2 linked regions of the Canis lupus familiaris genome follow. The protein of the gene in region 1 interacts with the protein of each later gene in a pairwise test. Links are inferred from orthologs where the notes say so. Each region holds a gene or a part of one and is shown in the gene's direction. Other genes may lie near its edges.

Evidence for each region.
Region 2: the proteins of PTPN6 (region 1) and LAIR1 interact in binary tests that used the Homo sapiens proteins (3 or more experiments, as listed by UniProt). The link is inferred for Canis lupus familiaris from reciprocal best matches to the Homo sapiens genes PTPN6 and LAIR1.

Annotation. Positions count from the first base shown.
Region 1 is NC_049248.1:7,995,153-8,002,764, forward strand, and holds the start of PTPN6 (tyrosine-protein phosphatase non-receptor type 6), read left to right. Parts: upstream 1-3,312; 5' UTR 3,313-3,493; coding exon 3,494-3,501; intron 3,502-3,591; coding exon 3,592-3,714; intron 3,715-3,913; coding exon 3,914-4,108; intron 4,109-7,449; coding exon 7,450-7,612. UniProt on the Homo sapiens protein: Tyrosine phosphatase enzyme that plays important roles in controlling immune signaling pathways and fundamental physiological processes such as hematopoiesis.
Region 2 is NC_049222.1:103,669,356-103,676,977, forward strand, and holds the start of LAIR1 (leukocyte-associated immunoglobulin-like receptor 1), read left to right. Parts: upstream 1-3,051; 5' UTR 3,052-3,170; coding exon 3,171-3,204; intron 3,205-3,562; coding exon 3,563-3,598; intron 3,599-5,853; coding exon 5,854-6,135; intron 6,136-7,622. UniProt on the Homo sapiens protein: Functions as an inhibitory receptor that plays a constitutive negative regulatory role on cytolytic function of natural killer (NK) cells, B-cells and T-cells.

The DNA of each region.
Region 1 (7,612 bases):
CCAGGAGGGCTTTCCTGTGGAGATGGCAGGTACACCGAGAGCTGGATGATGATTAAGAGCCAGCCAGGTGGTGACCAAGAGTCAAACGCCTGGGAGGCACAGGCCCTGCTGTGGGAACAAAGGAAGGGGTGCACAGAGCAAAGCAGTGGAGAGGGAGACATGGACCCGCAGTGTCATGTGTGGCCAGGATGGTGTGTCCATGTGTGGGTATTTGCACTGGGCCAGGTACGTGTGTAGATGGACACAGATGGTGAGGTGCATGCACAGAGTGGGACTGTGTGTGCATGTGTATGTTTGTATGTCATCTGTGTATGACAAGCAGGGTGTGTACGTGTAGGACTGAGAGCTGAACATGCCTGTGCATGGCTATTGGTGAGCTTGTTTATTGGACACGTACTCTGCATGAGGCACTATGCTAGCCTTTGAACTTCCGAAGGTGAGCATGACTGACTGTGGACCCCCGCACCCCCTGCAGTGGAGCCCACTCTGCAGATCCTCTTTATGCCTCTAGCTCAGGGAAGGGATATGTGGGCTTTCGGTGGGGCTCAAAGTCCAAGACTGAAAGGGTAGTCAGTATTAGGTCATAAAATAAACAGAACAAATTTCCCAGGTATCAGAAAGGAGGGGGGAAAGGGGGAAAGCCCATTTTTTGGGGGAGAAATTGATGTTTGAAAAAGTGATAAAGTAGTCATTGTAGGAAACCAAGACTTTAACTGAGCTTTGGCACTTTGTTTATTTTTCTTACTTTTTATTGAGGTATAGCATAGTTTTCATGAATGTTAAGCAAACGGCCTGATGAACATCATGTTAAATACACCAGCCAGATTAAGATGCAGAGTGTTCCCAGCACCCCAGTGGTTTCCTAGAAATTGCCATCTCCCAGTCAACTTATTTATTTTTATAAAGGTAATACATATCCATGCTATAACATTCAAAAAAAAAATGTAGGCGAAGAAAACATCCAGATCACCAACAGACACATGCTCAACATCGCTCATCATCAGGGAATGCAAGTCAAACCCACAATGAGATACCATCTTATATTCGTCAGAATGGCTAGAGTCAGAAAGACAAGAAATAACAAATGTTGGTGAGGATGTGAAAAAAGGGACCCTTGTGCACTGCTGGGCGGGGGGGAGGTCAATTGGCCCAGCCACTGTGGAAAACAGTATGGAGGTTCCTCAGATAATTAAAAATAGAAAAACCATTTGATCCAGTAATTCCACTACTGGGTAATTACCCACATAAAACAAAAACACTAATTTGAAAATTAGTGAAAATTTGCCACTACGTTCACTGTGGCATTATTTACAGTAGCCAAGGTAAGGAAACAATCCAAGTGTCTAGCGACAGATGAATGGATAAAGAAGATATAATACATACATACGATGGAATATTACTTGGCCATAGAATGAATAAGATCTTGACATTTGTGACAACATGGATGGATCTAGAGGGTACTAGTGAAATAAGTCAGGGAAAGACAAGAACATATGATTTCACTTATACGTAGAATCTAAAACACAAAACAAATGAACAAACCAAAAGCAGAAACATCCATAAACACAGATAATAAACTGATGGTTGCCAGAGGGAAGGGGGAGGGGAGAGGGACAAAATGGGTGAAAGGGGAGTGGGAGGTCCAGGCTTCCAGTTACAGAGTGAAAAACCATGGGGATGAAAGGCACAGCATAGGGAATATAGTCAGTGGTATTGTAATAATGTTGGATGGTGACAGGTGGTTGCTCTGCCTGTGGTGAGCGGAGCGTACTACATAGTCTTGTTGAATCACTATGTCGTACACCTGAAACTAACAACATTGTGTGTCAACTACACGTCAATTAAAAAAATAAAACCGGCATAAGGGAGATGTAAATATCCCTCTCAGCCCTCTCCCCCAGGCTCCCTCCCTGGGGGAAGCCACCAATCTGAGTTTTCTGTGTTTCCTTTGTTGGATTGCTTTCCTCTTGTTTTGGTTTGGTAGCATTTGTGTGTTTTTTTTTTTTAATTTTTATTTATTTATGATAGTCACAGAGAGAGAGAGAGGCAGAGACACAGGCAGAGGGAGAAGCAGGCTCCATGCACCGGGAGCCCGATGTGGGACTTGATCCCGGGTCTCCAGGATTGCGCCCTGGGCCAAAGGCAGGGGCCAAACCGCTGCGCCACCCAGGGATCCCAGTGTTTGTATGTGGAATTACACATGGGGATCATCATGAGCTCCTGGGGTGTAGGGCCTCTCAATGTCAACCAGCCCTGAGAATATCAATCATGGCAGGGACCTCGGTCCCCAGCCCACAGGAGACAGGCCCCTAGTCACAGTCCTGAGCTCTGAGCCGATTCAGACCAGACCCCTTGACAAGAATCTATGGCTCAGGCATAGGGTGGACATACCCAAGGGGGCTACCCCCACCTGCATTCCTAGATCTGCTGCCCCTTGCATTCTGTTCCTTGGCTCCACTACCTGGTTAGGGCACAGTGGGGCAAAGACTTGGGATAAGAAGTAGAAAAGGTGTAAGTCTGACAGCTGTGCAGGAGTCATTCTGTCCATCCCTCTGTCCCGGTGGTGCCTCTTCAGATGTGTGTGCCAGAGGAGGTGAGGGTGCCTTTCCCTTTGCAAGCATCTGCTTGGCCTTGGCTATTATTTCTAATAAAGTATCCCCTTCCCTGCAGCCCCCAGTGGACAAGAGGTCCCCACCTCTGTCCTTTGAGTCCCCAGGGGCTGGCATACAGCTGCTAAAATCCCTGGCTTGGGAACCACAGTGTGAGGTCACATCCCAGCACCACCCCTTACCGACTGGCTGACCTCAGGCAAGTTCCCTACATTCTGTGAGCCTCAGATTCCTCCTCTGTAAAATGGGGGAAAAAACAGCATGTGCTTTGTGGGGCTATTAGGAAGAATAAACCAGATGAGGTACATAAATGACATGCTAGCATGGTGCCTGGCCTACAGTGAGACTCTGTGGAACGAGAGTTGTCACCGTCACCATTATCACGAGCTTGGACAGGGGAGGGGAAGGGTGTGTGGAAGCAGCCTGTGGAGGAAGATGAGATGGCCTGTGACTGCAGGGGTTCATGCTTATGAAGCGTGGCCTCCACACATCAGGTGCCAGGCATAGCTGTGTCCCTATGTTGTGTGTCGTCACGTTTGCAGAGTGCCATGCTCCTGGAGCCTTTGATGGCAGCCGTGTGGGAAGTGGGCCCCATCCCCACCCCCACTGCCACCCCGCTTGGCTTCTCTTCGCTCTGCCCTAAAACGAGAAGTACAGTGAGTTCCCCCAAGGGGTCGGCCGCGCCCCTTCCTGTCCCCGCCCTGCTGCCGGCTGGCCCTGGGGCCAGTGGAGTGGCAGCCCCAGAACCCACGGCCAGGGCTGACAGGCAGCCTGGGCGCTCGAGCAGAGCCGTGTGGAGGCCTTAGGCCCAGAGCTCTCTGCCCGCCCGGACTCGCCAGTGCACCTCGTTCCCTGCACCCCTTTCCTCTCAGGGAGCCCCCAGGATGGTGAGGTAAGGTCCTGGGGCCTGCGGGATGCAGGAGGCAAGGGGGCCCTGCGGATGGAAGGAAGGACCTCTCCTCATTGCTCTGCGGGCCTCCAGGTGGTTTCACCGAGACCTCAGCGGGTTGGATGCAGAGACCCTGCTCAAGGGCCGCGGTGTCCATGGAAGCTTCTTGGCCCGGCCCAGTCGCAAGAACCAGGGTGACTTCTCCCTCTCCGTCAGGTAGGTGGCCCCCAACTCCGGCCAGGGCAAGTGGCTCCCTTCTGGTTCCCTTGTGGCAGTGCCGACTCCCCAGGCCCCGGCACCCAATGTGTCCCCCCCGCCCCCTGTGTGTGCCTGGGACTCTGGACCTCAGCCCATCCCCCCTCTGTCCCCATCTCTCCTCTTGCACCCACTGGTCTCACCACCCGGTGCCCTGCAGGGTGGGGGATCAGGTGACCCACATTCGGATCCAGAACTCAGGAGATTTCTATGACCTGTATGGAGGGGAAAAGTTTGCGACGCTGACAGAGCTAGTGGAGTACTACACGCAGCAGCAAGGCGTCCTGCAGGATCGAGATGGCACCATCATCCACCTCAAGTACCCGCTGAACTGCTCCGACCCCACCAGTGAGAGGTGAGGGGCTTCCTGGCCCACTCCCACGTGGAGGCGGGCTGACTTCCACCCTGTCCTGCCCAGGGCTCTGTGGGCCTCTTTCTTCTGTGTGATCCCAGGCTCATGCCTCAGGGGACATCACCTTCCCCTTTTCCAGGGTCTCCACCAGCTGGCAACCCAGGCCCTCCTAGTGATGGAGAGGCCTAGTGGCTACATTTGGTAGTAGGCCAGCTCTGTTGTTAGAAAGCTCTCCTTCCTTCTGTGGAAACAAATCTGCCTTGCCATACTATTCTTTCCTCCAGGACAGGTTAATACATGGAGAGATTGATGTTGAGGAGGAACATAGGGACTTATATTTATGAGGACATTTAATGCTTTATCTCAGTAACACAGTGATGACGGGTCTCCTTTTGGGGACTTGGGAGAGCTTGACCAGTCCCTTGCCTGGAACACAGATCGGTGGATAACTATGATATGGTCGTGTGTGCAAGGGGCCTAGTATCTGGGCACAGGGTAGTACTCAAGGCATTGCCCTCCTGTCCCCTTTGGCTCCAAAGATGTGGTCTCCAGGACCGGGCAGGCTGCCCCTCACATGGTCTCCCTAAAGCATGGGTGGGGGTTGGGAGCCTGAACACTCAGCGTTACACTGGGGGCTTATTTCAGCAGCTGTATCCCAGTGACAGCTCCATTAAGGTGAATGGCAGACGAATAATTCTAGTAGCTTTTTTTTTTTTTTTTTTTTTTTACGTTCTGGGGCCAAGGCAGCTTGCTCTTGTCCTGTATTTGTGCATTGACTGTTGACCTAATGATGGACCTTGATTCCATCAGTTTTCACTCTTTCTAAGATGCATGCCTCTTAACTTGCCCAGTATTTTTGTTCAAGTCACTGATGGCAAGTTTGAGATGCGTGAGGATGAGGCCTAGGTGAGGGCCTCGTGGCCCACTGCTGGACACCATTCTCCAGCCAACATGAAGCCATCAATCCGTTTCCTTTGAAGCCACCTCTTGGAGGAGTAAAGCCCAAGCTTGGATGACTGCTCATGGTGGCCCTCCTTGGTCCTTTCTTGGTATCCACACCCTTTTGCCCTCTTCCTCCATCCTGCTGACAGCATTCATGGGGGTTTGCCACTCAGACCCTCTTGAACTCTTGGGGTCCTCTCTTCCTCTTTGGCCTAAACCAGCCTCTGCCCTGCTAGATGGTGGGCTGGTGGAGCCCCTAGAGGAGCAGGAGGTTGTGGATGGAGCCAGAAGAAGGAAGGAGAAGCTCTCCTTGGGAGAGCCTGAGGCCTGGAGTAGCAGGAGGAGGACAGAGCTGGGGGCTGGCAGGGAGGGAAGAATAGAGGGTATTGAGGCCAGGGAAGCTGACTCTCAGAAGCCTTTTTGGTCCCTCACATCAGGACACCTGGCTAACCCCTGACCTTGGGATTGTGTATGGGAGGCTCTTTCTCCATCCCTCTCTTGTGTTCCTGGCTCTGGAGGCTGCCCCTCCTCCTCTGAGGGAATTTGCATTTGTCCCGCCAATGGCTAGCACTCTGCCTGTGGTCAGCCTGATATTTGCATGGAAACTTCCTCATCCTGGGCCAGGGGGACGAGGGTCAGCCCCCACCCCATTGCCAGAGTGGGCGTGTGTGTGTGGGGTGTGCCCTGGTCTATCCCTGAATGGTGGGGTGGGGTGGCCTCCCAGGTACTGCTCCTGGACAGGGCAGGAGTGTGTCTGGGCAGGACCCATGTGCTCCTCCATCCTCCCCCCCATCCCTGCGGTTGGAAAATGCCCCCTCCCCTGGTCCCTGGGCTGAGGAAACCTCACACCCTCACTTCTCACTCTCTCCCCAGAAGGAGTTTTGTGTTTTTTCCATCACGTGGTTTCCTGTGGGGCTGGGCATTGTGGGGCTACGGTTTCCTCCTGGGAAGGGGGTGTGCTTCGGGGAAAGGTCCTAGTTCTGCTTTCTGCCCTTTCTGAGCCCCTCTGAGCCCCAGTCTCCCCTCCAGTGATGTTATCCTGAGCCCCCCAGAGCCCCCCAAACCACCGCTTCCCCCGCAGGGTTGTCTGTCTTCCCTGTTATTGAGGGGTTGGTGGCCCCATGAATCCCTTGTGACCCCCATCTCCACTGCCCTTGCTGTTTGGCCTCTTTGTTTCTCTTGGTCTCCCTCCTCTTTCCCTAATCAGTCCTGGCTTTCCTGGGACCCTTCCTCAGTTTTTCCCCTCCAGTTGTTCTGCATATGGCCTGCCTTTCTGTCTCTGGCTTAACACTCTCAGAGGCAGGTCTGGTTAGAACTCCCGAAGCTTCCTTAGCAGGCCAGGGCCTTGGGCCAGTGTACGATCGCTCAGCTTCAGGTTCCTCGTCTGTAAAATGAAATGGTCCCTACCTCTCAGCATTTTTGTGAGAGCAATGGACCTAAATATGGTGGTGGCTTTGAGGGGTGCCTGGCTGGCTCAGTTGGAGGCGCGTGCAACTCTTGATTTCGGACTTTAAGTTTGAACCCCACGATGGGTGTAGAGATGACTTTAAAAAAATCGTTAAGCCACTTGCGTGGCTCAGTTGGTTAAGTGTCTGCCTTTGGCTCAGGTCATGATCTCAGGGTCCTGGGATCGAGTTCTGCATTGGGCTCCCTGCTCAGCTGGGAATCTGCTTCTTCCTCTTCCTCTCCCTCTGTCCCCCTGACTCGTGCTCTCACACATTCTCTCTCTCTCTCTCTCAAATAAATAAAATCTTTAAAAAAAAGTCTTGGGGTGCCTGGATGGCTTAGTCGGTTAAGTATTTGCCTTTGGCTTCGGTCGTGATCCCAGGGTCCTGGGATGGAGCCCCACGTCGGGCTCCTTGCTCCGAGAAGACTCTGCCTCTCCCTCTCCTTCTGCCTCTCCCCACCCACCTCTCATGCTCTCTCACTCACTGTTGCTCACTCTTTCTCTGAAATTTTTTATTTTATTTTGTTTTATTTTATTTTATTTTATTTTATTTTATTTTATTTTATTTTATTTTATTTTATTTTATTTTATTTTATTTTATGAGAGACACAGAGAGAGAGAGAGAGCTGCAGAGACACAGGCAGAGGGAGAAGCAGGCTCCATGCAGGGAGCCCGACGTGGGACTCGATCCCAGGACCCTGGGGTCACACCCTGGGCTGAAGGCGGCGTTAAACCGCTGAGCCACCCAGGCTGCCCTCTCTCTGAAATTAAAAAAAAAAAAATCTTTAAGATTTTTAAAAAAAAGTCTTAAAAATATATGGTGGATTTGAAAGCATCTAACATGGTGCGTGGCACGTCACAGTCACTCGATTTCCCTGTCCCCCTCTATGAATGTCTCTGCTTGGTGCTGGCCCCTTGGCTCAAGTATCACCTTCCCCAATGTCGCCTTCTCTAGGTGGTACCATGGCCACATGTCTGGGGGGCAGGCAGAGACACTGTTGCAGGCCAAGGGTGAACCCTGGACATTTCTCGTGCGTGAGAGTCTCAGCCAGCCTGGAGATTTTGTGCTGTCCGTGCTCAGTGACCAACCCAAGGCTGGCCTGGGCTCCCCGCTCAGA
Region 2 (7,622 bases), on another chromosome or scaffold:
ATATGTACTCTGAATTGAATCCTGGCACAGGGAAAGAACATTAGCGGGGAAAAAATGGATAACATCCAAATACAGTCTGTAGTTTAGTTAATTACTGTATCAATGTTAATTGCTTGGTTTTGACAGATGGGGCCTGGTTATGCAAAATATTGATGTTAGAGAGTCTGGATGAAGGGCATGTGGGAACTCTCTGGGGCTTTGCAACTTCTCTGCAAATCTAGCGTTATTTTAGGGTAAGACGTTTGTTTAAAAAATGTTATGGAGCAAATGAATGTTTTCCAAAAAGAGGAAAAAAAGAAAAAAGATCAGTGGTTGCTGGGAGGGCAGAGAGGTTACAAGGACTCTTTGTGGCAACGGAAATCTTCATGATGATGGTGGTTTCACAGCTGCCGGAGCGCATCGGATTGCACACATTTGTGGATGCGGTTTGTTTTATGAGATCATGCCTAAATAAAGCTGATTAAAAATCACTCATAAAGACTACGCAAAAGGGCAGCCCGGTGGCGCAGCGGTTTGGCGCCCCCTGCAGCCTGGGGTGTGATCCTGGGATCGAGTCCCACATCCGGCTCCCTGCATGGAGCCTGCTTCTCCCTCTACCTGTGTCTCTGCCTCTCTCTTTCTGTGTCTATGAATAAATAAATAAAATCTTTAAAAAAAAAAGACTATGCAAAAAACGGAGCAGGGAGGATTTTGTTCGTGGGAGGCATTACTCCAGGGAATAAGGATTGCAAAGCAAAGCAGGGGACCAGGCCATGATGCTGAGGACAGCTAGTGAGCAAGCCAGAGTTGCAGAGAAAGGAGGCAATGCCACCAGGAATAGATCCCGCAGGGGAGAGGGAGTGGGAAAGAAGGAGGGAAGGAGACAGAGACAGAGACAGAGAGACAAATAGATCCCAGGGGGAACACACACAGAGAAAAAAGATGAGGAAGGTGCAGATTCGCGGGGCTGGCTGGTGTAGGTCATTTTTCAAGAGCAAGCAGTTTTGGCCTCCTGTTTCAAAACACGTATTCTTGACAGCCCTTAGAGATGGGTGAGTAATTTCAGTTCACTCTTACAATAAAATGGAAGCTTCAGATTCTGGCCTAGCAAAGGGAGAGTCTCCCCAGACTCCTCGACCAGGGTGACCTCTGGGCTTTAGCCTTTAGCCTCCAGGATCTGTGAGGCCAGGGAGAGAAGACTTACCTCATCACCGTCAAGGTGAGAGCCAGGTTCAGCCATCCAGCTTGACTCTGGGGAATCCCAACTTCCTTTAATTTCTGACTATTTAGCCTCCCTATAGCTTTCATATCTTTAAGGCACTTGAGAATATTCTTTAAAATATTATATCAAGCAGCTTTAGGTTTTTAAAAATAATTGTTATAATTGAAGATGGAGTGTTGGTCCATATTCTTATCCAATATTTTTTTAAAGTTAATTTATTTTTTATTGGTATTCAATTTACTAACATACAGAATAACCCCCAGTGCCCGTCACCCATTCACCCCCACCCCCCGCCCTCCTCCCCTTCTACCACCCCTAGTTCGTTTCCCAGAGTTAGCAGTCTTTACGTTCTGTCTCCCTTTCTGATATTTCCCACACATTTCTTCCCCCTTCCCTTATATTCCCTTTCACTATTATTTATATTCCCCAAATGAATGAGAACATATAATGTTTGTCCTTCTCCGACTGGCTTACTTCACACAGCATAATATCTTATCCAATATTTTGACAGAAAACCTAGGATTTTACTTATTAAGAATTCCAGGAAGAAGGGCACCTGGGTGGCTTAGTGATTGAGTGTCTTACTTCGGCTCAGGTTGTGATCCCAGGGTCCTGGAATCAAGTCCTGCATCAGACTCCCTGCAGGGAGGCTGCTTCTCCCTCTGCCTAAGTCTCTGCCTTTCTCTCTGTGTCTCTCATAAATAAATAAATAATTTTTTTAAAAAAAGAATTCCAGGGGGATGGGGTCCTTGGGTTGGTTTAGCAATCTACAGATTCTAGACCTCATGTTGTCCTACACCAGTTGTGTCTGCTGTTTTGTTCAAGCTTGTTGCCTCATGGCTGTAAGGTGGTTGCTACTGCTTTATCACATTGTCATGCTACAGTTGCTAGTGAAGAACAGCAGTAAAGGGGCAAAGGTGTCCTGAGACCCTACATTTTTAAGGGAGAAATAGGATTCCCAGTTATTGTGGTATATTCTGCTCTCAGCATCATTGGCCATACTTGGTCATGTGCCCCACTCTGGATCAATTACTGGAAATGGGATTGCCAGATTGCCTTCACCCAAACTTCATTTCCCACCCTGCCAGCCCCAAGCTTAGAGCAGAGCCACTCCAACAGCTCTAGGTTCCTGTTAGGAGGGAACTAGTGAGCAATGACTGCTGTGTCACTACCATCAGTGTGCCCCATGGCCATGCCTGGGAGAAATGGCTCTTCCAGGTTGGCAGAGCGGTGGACACAAGAATCTGTGCCGGGGTTCCTGTCCTTTTGGGCTCTGTGATGCATAAGTGTGCTCCCCACCCCGGTTCTGCTCTTTATTTCAGCAGACTGCTGGGTGTCCCATCTGGTCCCGCGCCTGAGGTCTGTGTCCTGGCCATTCCACCCCTTGAGGGTTTTGCATATACTCGTGGGCACCCTACATTTCCCTGGTTCCAATGTCACTGGGGGAAGATGGGAAGGGAACGTAGTGTTAGCATAACATTTTTAAAGTTCTCAACATGTGACTGAGAATTTAACGAATATTATGATAGTCAATGCTGGGAGGAAGATTCTAGGCTTCCCATTTCAAATATGAGGAAATGTTGGTGTAAAGTGGCATAATGTCTTGCCCAAGAACAGATGGTCTTTTTTTGGAGCTGGGACAGATATTCAAGTCACTTTCTTGTACACAGCCATGTCCTGCCTGGTCCCTGAGGTTGAAAATTAGGTTTTCCCCTCAGGGGTTCATCTGGGGGTGAGTTCAGCCTCATCCAAGCATGAAGGAAGAGGCATCTTTTGGAGGCCAAAACCCTCGCTCTGTCTCATAGTGGGACAAGTGGGAAGGACAGGGGAACATGCTTCCTCTTTGTGGGGGACTGCTGATGTAGAAACTCCATAACATGCCTCAGCTGACACATCCTGTCCCCGTGTCGGCTGCAGGCTCTATCCTACCCAGTGGCTCCAGGACGGTGCAGGCTGCAGGGATCTCGGCATGTTTCCCCATGTGACCACCTTCCTGGCCCTCAGTGAGTCCTGAAATGGAAATAAAGGGTTAGGGGGACAGCGTGAGTGGGCAGAAGATTTGGGGAGGGGGCCTGCTTCCCTTCCCAGTCCTGCCCCCAGTCCAGAAGACTCCAGGATCCTGGGGGAGTGAAGTAGGTCAACACCCTACCTCCTGCCCCAGACAACCTAGGTCAGACCATGTGGGTTCAGTTCTAGAACAGAGATTAATTCAGACTCCAGAGGGGCTGGGGGAGAGAAGCACCTATTTGGAAGAGGGGGCCGGGGGCTTGTCTTGAGACTATTTCAGAGCAAGAAGATGGACTGGGGTGGCCCCTGATGGAACTGGGAGTGGTCTCTCTCTCACCAGATCCTCTCTTTCAGCGCTCTGCCTGGGTGGAGGGCTCCACGCACAGCAGGGTGAGTCTCCTCCTCATCCTCTTTGCATCCCAAAGGCAGCTCTGGACAGGATGGTGCTGACCCTGGGAGGGCCTGGGAGGAGGCCCTGAAATTTGCCCCAAATTGCAAACAATCGCCAATGTATGACCCTTGCAAACTCTCTCCCTATTCCCCACCTGTGCTTCCGACAGCCACCCCCCTAAACAATTAGAACTGTGCAGGACCAGGCTGAGCCCAGGGCTCTCCCACACAAGCCCAGACCCCCCTCTCAGCATCCCCTTGGCAGAGAGCAGAGTCGTCAAGTGCCAAGTCCCAGACACCATCCTTGATCCCAACTTCATCCTCGATACAAAACACATCACCAGTGACTTGATTTTTCAAGGATAATTTTAAAATTTCACTCACATTTTTGGAATTTATTTTTCATATTTTTTTCTATTTGGGGCAAAATATTAGATTTTTAGAGTCCTTTCATCATCTCTGCTCAGATCAAATAAGACCCACGAACTGCTCTTTGGTCTAGATCTGTCCATCCTCACACTGTCCAGCTCACTTACCTCCAGATACCTCATCTTTCTTTCTCAAAAAACACCATTTCCCCTTCAACTCTGGACCTCCTCACACACTGATTTTTTTTAGGTCAAATGCCCTGGCTGCTGCTCTCTACTCAGTGTGCGTGCTTCACACTGGACACTCTGCTCTTAGCTCAGATGCCTCGTCCTTCCAACCTCCCCAAGAGGACCCCTCAATTCCCGTACTCACCCCCAGGGCATGCATCACAGTCTGCATCTGTGGACTCAGACAAGTATTTGATGAGTGTCTGTCCTCCCTCAATACTCTCAGCCCCGAGAAGGCAGGGATCATGAGTGTGTTTCTCATGTTTGTAGAACCAGTGGCACATGGAGAGCATCTGTACATGGATACATAGATGCTAAAATACAGTAGAAGGAAGGAAGGAAGGAAGGAAGGAAGGAAGGAAGGAAGGAAGGAAGGAAGGAAGGAAGGAAGGAGAAAGAAAGAAGAAAGAAGAAAAGAAAGAAAGAAAGAAAGAAAGAAAGAAAGAAAGAAAGAAAGAGAGTAGGCAGACAAATGAGCAAAGAATCTCTCTCAGCTCCTGCCTCCTGAGGGATTTTTTTTATTTCTTTTTATTGGAGTTCAATTTGCCAACATATAGCATAACACCTGAGGGATTTTGTAACTTTGATGCTGCCTTCCTGTTTTCAGGACTACAAAACCCCTCTTCCTCCACCGCCAGCCTAGCTGAGGCAGACGGGGGTTTTTAGGAGCGTTACAAACAAGGAAGTAGAAATAAGGCTGATCTATTTTTAACTGTTTGAGGAACCTCCACACAGTTTTCCAGAGTGGCTGCACCAGTTCACATTCCCACCAACAGTGTATGAGGGTTCCCTTTACTCCGCATCCTCTCCAACATTTGTTGTTTCCTGCCTTGTTAATTTTCCCCATTCTCACTGGTGTGAGGTGGTATCTCATTGTGGTTTTGATTTGTATTTCCCTGATGGCAAGTGATGCAGATGCTTCAACGTGGATGGAACTGGAGGGTATTATGCTGAGTGAAGTAAGTCAGTCGGAGAAGGACAAACATTATATGTTCTCATTCATTTGGGGAATATAAATAATAGTGAAAGGGAAAATAAGGGAAGGGAGAAGAAATGTGTGGGAAATATCAGAAAGGGAGACAGAACGTAAAGACTGCTAACTCTGGGAAACGAACTAGGGGTGGTGGAAGGGGAGGAGGGCGGGGGGTGGGAGTGAATGGGTGACGGGCACTGGGTGTTATTCTGTATGTTAGTAAATTGAACACCAATAAAAAAAAATAAAAAAAATAAAAAAAAAAAGAAATAAGGCTGAAATGAAAGTAGAAAAGACAGAGCAAACCCAGAGATGGGTGCTCCACAGAAGACTTGCATTGCAGACAGGAATCCTCATCCACTGAGGTCTGTGGGACCAGGTGAACTGGTGTCCCAGCACACCCCGCACTGGACTTCAGCTGGTGCTTCGCAGATTGCGCCCCCTAGCTGAGGCTAGCCCGTCCGGAGCCATTCCTACAACTCCAGACTCCTGCTTACCTTGTTCCCACAAATGGCCTGTCATCTTCATCCACTGTTTCTGTCCCAGCCCACCCCACCCCCCATCAGCCCCAGAAAGTGGCCACGGGTAGGAGCCGTCTGTATGTATGACCTCCCTCCCACCTCCCAGGACAGGACAGGCTGTCTCCTCAGAACGGACCCCAAGAACCTGCTCTGCTTCCCTCCTAGGGGTCCTGCCCAGCCCCTCCATCTGGGCCCAGCCGAGCTCTGAGATTCCCCGGGGGCAGCCGGTGACCATCGTGTGCCAGGGCCCTGCTGGGGCTGAGACATTCCGCCTGGAGAAGGAGGGAAGTGCTCTACATAAAGATGTGAGGAACCCACAACATGAGACGCAGGCCAGATTCCCCATCCCTGCGGTGGGTGAAGACACTGCCCGGCGCTATCGCTGCCTCTATAATAAAGACGGCACCTGGTCTGACCGCAGCAAGGAACTGCAGCTGGTGGTGACAGGTGAGGACATCTCACCTCTGCCCTCAGATTTCTCTGGGCCTGAGTGATGGCCGGATGTGGCCTTCGGATGGGTGCTCAGGGTACAGAGAGGCCAGGAGTGGGATAGACCCTGGGGGTGTCCACCTAGCATCGGTCCTTCTGCCCTGGTCACAGAGGACCCCCCACAACACACACACACATCTATTCTTCAGCTGGTGAGTAACAATGCTTGGGGACATTGCTGGGGGGGTGCTCTATGCTGGCAATCGGGCTGCAGGCCCAGCCTCCACCCCCCTAGGCTTGGGTTAGGGACTGGTGAGACCACAGTGAGGGGCTGCCACCTGCAGGGCACCACTAACTGGTTGAACTACTTGTGCCAAGTGCTGTGAAAGCAGTCAATGCTAGTAGCACAGGATGTGGGAGGCACTCTCCGACCTCTGAGAGCTCCCCCCCAACTCCTCTAATGTGCAAAGCCTTGCAGGTTTCATGCCCAAAGGCACAAAGCTCTGAAGGGGTGGAACCAGCCCAAGGGGGGGAGGGGCAGACCTCAGGTGGTGGCCACCCCCTTGTGGGCAGGGTCCTACTCTTGGCAGCTCTGCAAGGAACCTGGGTCTAGAGGCACAGAGAAACTAACAGCTCATCTTCCAAACTCAGACTCTGCGGGAGAGACCAGGGCTCTTGATGGTTATGTCCCCACAGTGGCATTAGGTCAGGTAGAGGAAGAGAGAGCCCCTCTAGGAGAACCCTGAACCCGATGGGTGGGGGGTGCACAGCCTCACCTGCTGCCCCATCTATTGCTGTGCAGACTGAAGGTCGGAGCAGAAGCTCCACAGCTCCTGCAGGGATTGAGATTCCAGCCCTGCCTTGGGACTCTATATCCGGTGGTGAATCACCAAAATCACACCTGGCCCAATTTCCTTATGCGCCAAAGGGGCAGTAAGTGTACTGACCCTGGAGCCCTGTTTCAGGGATATAGGGGTTGGTTTACGCAGGGCATGGCACTCAGGTCTGCTGAATGGGATAGCATGAAGACGTGCTGGTCTTACTAACGTGAAGGAATGGTTTTCTTCTTTTTTAAGATTTTTAATTTATTTATTCAGAGAGAGAGAGAGAGGCAGAGACACAGGCAGAGGGAGAAGCAGGCTCCATGCAGGGAGCCCGATGTGGGACTTGATCTCGGTCTCTAGGATCACACCCTGGGCTGCAGGTGGTGCTAAACCGCTGCGCCACCGGGGCTGCCCAGGGTTTTCTTCTCACTTCCTTGTAGGCACCAGACACCCACCTGCTGAACGCTGGATCTATTTGGGGAAATAAGGGAAAGGGTCCTTGTGGTCCGAAATTTTAATGGGAAAATTAACTAGAATGAGGGATCCCTGGGTGGCGCAGTGGTTTGGCGCCTGCCTTTGGCCCAGGGCGTGATCCTGGAGACCCGGGATCGAATCCCACGTCGGGCTCCCAGTGCATGGAGCCTGCTTCTCCCTCTGCCTATGTCTCTGCCTCTCTCTCTC